Linked DNA regions of Danio rerio. The protein of the gene in region 2 interacts with the protein of the main gene of each other region in a biochemical or structural test. Links are inferred from orthologs where the notes say so. Each region holds a gene or a part of one and is shown on either strand. Other genes may lie near its edges.

The links.
Region 1: the proteins of vdac1 (region 2) and bcl2l1 form a complex in vitro, tested with the Homo sapiens proteins (4 studies listed by BioGRID). The link is inferred for Danio rerio from reciprocal best matches to the Homo sapiens genes VDAC1 and BCL2L1.

Annotation. Positions count from the first base shown.
Region 1 is NC_133198.1:21,881,940-21,885,866, forward strand, and holds the start of bcl2l1 (bcl-2-like protein 1), read right to left. Parts: upstream 2,673-3,927; 5' UTR 2,571-2,672; intron 1,114-2,570; 5' UTR 988-1,113; coding exon 415-987; intron 1-414. UniProt on the Homo sapiens protein: Potent inhibitor of cell death. Inhibits activation of caspases. Appears to regulate cell death by blocking the voltage-dependent anion channel (VDAC) by binding to it and preventing the release of the caspase activator, CYC1, from the mitochondrial membrane.
Region 2 is NC_133196.1:49,351,252-49,354,589, reverse strand, and holds the end of vdac1 (non-selective voltage-gated ion channel VDAC1), read left to right. Parts: intron 1-1,192; coding exon 1,193-1,250; intron 1,251-1,812; coding exon 1,813-1,904; 3' UTR 1,905-2,513; downstream 2,514-3,338. UniProt on the Homo sapiens protein: Non-selective voltage-gated ion channel that mediates the transport of anions and cations through the mitochondrion outer membrane and plasma membrane.

The DNA.
Region 1 (3,927 bases), on a different chromosome or scaffold from region 2:
AACAAACAAATACATTGGATTTTCTTACTTAACTGAAGAAAACAGGGAAACTCCAAGGATACATATGTATCTTTCTTTCCATGAATTATTAACAAACTGCAATGGTCCTCTAATTAAAATATCCTACGATTCTACTGGTTGATTAATTTAGATTTATTAGAGAATAAAATACCTTCGGGTTCACCCAAAGTCTTATTGGTTTGTGACAAAATGAGGGTGAAAACCTTATTTTTTAAGGGGTAGACGTGCCTTGTAACAAAACTTTTTACTTCAAGGTTGCCCATATAGTTTGTTTGTTTTTTTAATCTTTGAAAAGTCTTTATATTAAACAGGACAATCTGACACATTGAACATACATAAATGCTGACTGAAGAAGAATAAGGTAGGTTAAAAAACAAGTAAATTTTAACTCACCCATCCTCCTTGGCTTTGGATCCAGGGTTGAATATGGTTGTCTAGGTAGACGGTCATCCATTCTGCGATGCGTCCCACAAGCGGACTCATCTCCTTCTCCACACACTCGACGCACAGAGCCCCTCCGAATGCGAACAACCCCACGATTCGGCCCCAGTTGACGCCGTCGCGAAACACCTCATCCATCACGCTCTCGAAGCTCTGGTACGCTGTGGCGGGTGTGATGTGGAGCTGTGAGGAAAGATCGTTGAATGCTCTGGAATAGCGCAGCTCAAACTCGTTGGCAGAATCACGGAGCGCCTCCTTCACTGCGTCTAGACCCCCAGACCCATTTGTTTGACGCTGGGGGGATGAAGCAGGGGATTGTGGTGGGGTCCCAGTGGAACTAGCGTTCGTTCTATTCATGGTGCCATTAACAAGAGTTGTCGCTCCTGCTGCCCCCTCGCCATTCTCTTCAGCCCCATCAGTCCGATTTGTGTCTTCTGTAAGTCCAATGTGGTTGCAGGGGTAGTTCCTCTGCGAGAGTTTATATTTGATAAAAAATACCACCAGTTCTCGGTTATAGTAAGACATAATTCAGGTTGTTGCTCGTTCTCCGATGTCTAGATATCCACTAGCTGTTTCTCAGAACACAGTGCACACCCTTGCGTCCTGCTCAGGCTTCTGCCGACGCTCAGGGATGGTGCAATGGCTCATACCCTGTGGTAAGACAACAGTGCAATGAATTGATCCATAAATACGCAATCATCTTCACAAACAGGCAGAGGAGGGGGGTCAGGGTGAAACTTTGGAAGAGGTTAAGGGGCACTGAAGATAAACAGCTTTTTTCACCACCTAAAACCCTCTTACTTAATGAAGAGCTTGATCAAAGGAACAGATGGTAGCCTCTCATCACCTGCCTCCTATGAAAAACATGGACAATTTCCCCTCTCCCCTTGTCCAAGACAAGGCTAAATGTACACTGACCTTGACATGAGTGAATTTTAAACAGCAGGGGGGCACAAATGGCCAACGTGGCTGGAATTATGATTCCCTCATTCGAACAAATCCATAACGGACCTTCTTTGTAGTGCCAGAAGAACTAGCCAAGAGTCACAGACAAAAGATTCCCCAAGGTGTTTTTCATTAGGGGTGCTTTTTACAATGTTTGCTCAGTGTATCTGTATCACTAATCTCTCTTAAACATATAGAACAGTTTGGAGTTATTGATTATAGATCAAATTTACACAGCACTATTTTCTAATTATAAACTCCAATCAAAAGGATTCATTTTTTTCGAGACAACTCCCTAATTCAATGGGCAGCTAGACAGACAGACAGACAGAGACACAATGACTGACATCCAGATAAAATGATCGTTCATGTGTAGAGATTTTCGAAATATCTACATTAAAGAAGAAACGGATTAAAGGCTAAGTTTGTGCTGAATTCGTCTATTTGAGTGCATGGGATGTTCACGCGCTGCATTATCTGATAGCTCGTGGGAAGAGCGCGAGAGTTCTCAGGAAACACTGGATCAGCCAAAAACACGTGCTGACAACAACGAAGCTCAGAGCACAACACATGGCCATCTCAACGCAGCTCTGTGTGTGGCGTGAAAATGACAAAAAACACACATTTCATAGCATTTTTTATTACACTTACTAAGAAATGACTCACTCTTAGTCCGAAATGTGACGCAAAATTTCATCATTAAATAAGAAACACCGCCTTTTATTGAACACGTGTAATGTTATGTATATTTACTGAAGTGGAAGCACGTATTGATGTCGCTGGATTGATCGATGAGTGAATAATTATTCTAATAAAGGCGACACGCGGTGTGTTTACAAACACCAGGTCAACTCACACAGCACAAACACATTCCTGTATACAGCAGCAGCACATGCGCGGCCACGAGAGAGTGTATGGATGCCATACCTCCCAAACACATAAACACACAGAGCTATTCCGCGCTGTCTTATGTTAGTGATCTCAAATAACAACATTTAAAGCTGACACGAGACTGAAGCAAAGATATTATCGAGCAATTTGTTAGAAATTAACCAACACACAAGTCTTGCGTTAACATTTGTCTACTTTATCTTAAGTTATCGCGCTTATTGACAACGTTTACGATAATGACAACACAGAGAGCAAAAGAGCACTGAGCTTACCATAACACAATCTGCTTACTCTTCCCGTAGATTAGTCAACCAAGCAAACAAGCCCTCGAAATTTAGGATAGTTACAGATTAAGCGAGGAAATTAAACAGAAAGCGTGGCAGATCAAAAGTAATACTGTATGTTTGGAAAAAAGCGAGTAAGTGCTAGATATTTCTGTTTAAGGCAGACCTCCCCTCTCTGTGATAGGATATATGATCACCTACATGCGTGACGTGATCAGCCATTACGTAATAAGGCTCCATTATAGGCCCATAACACAGAGGCCGTGCGGAAACAACCAGTCAGTTCTGTCTGGGAAGTAAGAGCAATACTGATCACTTTCAGAGAGGAGCTCGCGCAGAGTCAACCGAGCACGAGAAAACGCTCATTAAAAGGGTCCAATTATTAGCCAAATATCCAAACAAAAATCATAAGCAGCTGGGAAGAGCTTCCCAAACGTCGGCCTGCTAACGTTAAGGAGAAAGGCTGGATGCGGATTATTCTAGATTATTCTCCTGAATCAGTTTAGCATAAATGATTCACGCGTGTGAGTAAAATTGAACAGCCCATGTAACGTTATGTTTAATTCACGAACGAATATGATGCATTTCTGCACACATTACAGTCACGAAAACCACGAGCAAGAGAGCAAATTAATAACAAGCCCTATATAATTTATGGCTCTTACTTGGCCAGGAATGCGTTTCCTGTAAAAATCCAAGTCAACTACGTCAATCTTTCCTCCCTCGGCTAGCTAGCCGTGTAGCTGCTAGCGTCATGGAAGATGGACTGGCTCACCGTGGTAACACCAAATCGCTTGTAAGCGGCTGTAAAGACCCACACCCCTATCGTAGACCATTTGTACTTACTCAGATATTTGAGAGGGCAAATTCATGATGTCCCGCATGATCGATGTGGGTGTTCGTCCTCGGTCTGTGCGGAGCCGCTGTCAGCAGCGCATTCGGTGCAGCGAGCATTCAGCGGCGCAGCGCTCACTCAGTTCCGCCCCTTCAGACTCAGAGCTGCTCTTTAAAACCCAGGAGCAGTTTCATTTATTATTGCAGCAGATCAGATGAGCTCTGCCTGTGCTGGAGTTTTACTGGAGTTGGATTTTACTCACTCCAAAGTCCGTTAGCTAAAGCTTTGTATCATTTGAAAAGCAACAAATTTAGTATATATAATTTAAAACGTCCATTGAGCGTAATTCTGAAATCTAAATTTAACTTCGCAACTTTTACACGTTATCTGTCACTGATATAAATCCCCCTCTTCAGATTTCCTTATCTGTTCACTAATGTTTTGTTCCGAACACTTGACAGGCGTTATGAATGTTAATGTTATTAACCGCAAATGGCTCGCGCTCGTTAA
Region 2 (3,338 bases):
TATCACCATTTGTATTTTTTATTCTACCATTATTATTTATTTCCATATTCATGCATACATGGAGTGCTCAGCATGAAGGAGTGCAATAGACAATATATTGTGCTGCATTTATTTATTTATTTATTTATCAGCACACTGAAATGCTCATGAATAAGAGTGAGGTGTGTGTTTGGCTGAGTACTGCACTGTAAGTGGCCAAATGCACCTAGGCTTTTATGCCACACCTGCACCACACAGCACCATCTGCTGGTTAAAAACTGAGCTTAAACTCCATTCAAGAGAGAATCACAATGCATTTTGAAATAAATAAATAACACAAAAATAAATAAGGTGAAGTTTATGTATATAACAGCATTTTTATTTTATTTTTTATTCTTATTTTATTTTAAAGCTGTCAGATTTGTAGAGCAACTGCAAAGGAGAGATATTTCCATAATAGTGTGTTAGACCAGTACAGAAGTCATTACTCACCAAACCTGTTCCTGGAGGGCCGGAGTCCTGCAGATTTGAGCTTTAACCCTAATCAAACACACCTGAACAAGCTAATCAAGCTCTTACGCTGCGGTCACATTAGAGTTTGAGTATGCGAAATTCTGTCATGCAGCGCTGCAAAAAGCGCCGTGATTAAACAAGCTTATTAGACATTTTTAAAACTAAAAGCGAGCGATTGCTGCATGTTTTGATCCTCGATTTGTCTCAGTCTAGTGATGAGATTTCTCAGAGTTCACCAAGCTGGAACTTTGCACCGCAGCAACCTGTGAAACTTGACAAATGACCCTGCGTTTCCTGTCTGACGCATTTGCGTGCGTATGAATGGAAGTCTATGGGAGGAAAAGCCCAGTGTGACAGCAGCTTTACTGGGTATACTTGAAACATCCATGCAGGTGTGTTGAGTCAAGATGGAGCTAAACCCTGCAGGACCAGGATTGCTGACCCCTGGACTAAGTCTTTAGAGATGCATATTTTGCAAATACAGCTACAAATTTTGAGTCACCACAAAATCTGGACCGATGACCCCCCCCAGGACGTATACCACTGCCAGACCACCTCAACATCCCCGAGTTATTACATGATGTGGTTTCAGGCCGCAGCTCTAGATATTGCTTCATCACTGAACGCTCTGGGGAAAGTCATGATTGAAGGGAATCTACTATATTTGTATTCAACATCACTGTTTTTGTCTGTCTTACAGGCCAAAGTGAATAACTCGAGCCTTGTCGGGCTGGGATACACTCAAACTCTGAAGCCTGGTAAGTGTGTGTAGATATTATTAAACAGGGCTCTGCTGAAAAATCCAGCTTAAACCAGCCTAGGATGGTTGACTGGTTTTAGCTGGTCAACCAGCCTGGTTTTAGAGGGGTTTTGGCCACTTCCAGGCTGGTTTCCAGCCATTTCCAGCCTGGTTTTAGCTGGACAAGCTGGGAGATGACCAGCTAAAACCAGCTTGACCAGCCTAGCCAGGCTTGGAGCCCAGCCAAAACCAGCTATGTCCAGCTTAAACCAGGATGGTCAAGCTGGTTTTGATGGTTTTAGCTGGTCACTTTCTAGGCTGGAAATCAGCTTAGTCCCTTTATTCATCAGGGGTCGCCACAGCAGAATGAACCACCAACTTATCCAGAACATATTTCACACAGCGGATGCCCTTCCAGCTGCAACCCAGTACTGGGATACTCTCTCATGCACACACTCATACACCACGGGCAATTCAGTTGATCAATTCCCCTACAGCACTGTGTTTTTTCAGGTCTAATATGATATCTGCAGTATAATACCTGCTGGATTAATTCCCCAACGTCTCTCTTCTGCTTTCAGGTATTAAGCTGACCCTTTCTGCTCTTCTGGATGGCAAGAACATTAACGCCGGAGGCCACAAGATGGGTTTGGGTCTGGAGTTTGAGGCATAAGAAGCTGTGGATTGCTCCGATCCTGACTTCATTTAATATTACACACTTTATTTTCTATCCCCACACCCTCACACACCTTATTTCTCCTGAGCAGGAACACACACGGTATACCTGGAGACATGTATGCATTAGCAGCGGCTCACTTTCCCAGAGAGAAACACTATTAGAGAAGAGCGCTCCCCGGTTTATAAGATGTTTTGTCTTCAACACACTCTGCGTTATTTATTTCAGTGTTCATACTTTACAGATGCTCATTTCTTTGTGGAAGTTTACGTCAGAAAACACTAGATTGACATTCCTGATCTTCAGAAAGAGAGCCTGCAGCTCTTTATGATAGATTCCACACGTTTGGGTGCGTCTCATGTCTCCGTCTGGTGTGTGTGTGCGAGTAATCCACATGTGTGTCGTTGTTTTAGCGCTGCATACTACCTGCTGCGTCCGTGCAGAGCTCCTGAAAACAGAAGTGTGTGTCGGGAAGAGCACGAGTGACGTGCAGTTCTGGATGTAGGCTTGTCTTCCATTGTTACATGTAGGATTAGGAAGCTGTGGATTTAGCAGGATGGAGTCCTTCCTTACGTTGAATAAAACGTTCGACCTGTATCACACCTACTGGACTGTGTGTGTTGTGTTCTGTGGGAAAATCTGCCTTTTTGCATGCAGTAAATTCTGTTTATGAAGATTAATGTTTTTGAAAACTATAGGTATAGACTGATAGAATGTGTAATAAATATATATTAAGTTGAAGTCAAAATTATTCGCCCCCTTTGACTTTTTTTTTCTTTTTTAAATATTTCCCAAATGATGTTAAACAGATGCAGGAAATGTTCACAGTGTGTCTGATAATATTTGTTCTTCTGGAGAAAGTCTGATTTGTTTTATTTCGGCTAGAATAAAAGCAGTTATTGTGTTTTTAAACACCATTTAAAGGTCAATATTATTAGCCCCTTTAAGATATTTTGTTTTGGATAGTCTACAGAACAAATCATCATTATACAATGACTTGCCTAATTACCCTAGTGATGCCTTTAAATGTCACTTTAAGCTGTATAGAAGTGTCTTGAAGAATATCTAGAGTACTATTATTTACAGTCATCATGACAAAGAGAAAATAAATCAGTTATTAGAGATGAGTTATTAACACTATTATGATTAGAAATGTGTTGAAAAAATTTGCTCCGTTAAACAGAAATTGGGGAAAAAAAATAAATGGGTAATAATTCTGACTTCAACTGTGTATGTGTGTGAGAAATAAATAAACACAATAAAAGAATTATAAAAATATATAAATATTAGTAAATATATTTAAAACAAATAAAATAAATATAAAAATAAAAACAAAAAATAAAAAAATATAAATATTAGTAAATATAACGAATGTATATTTAAAACAAAAAATTGAGAAATATAAATAAAATAATAATAAATAAAAATAAA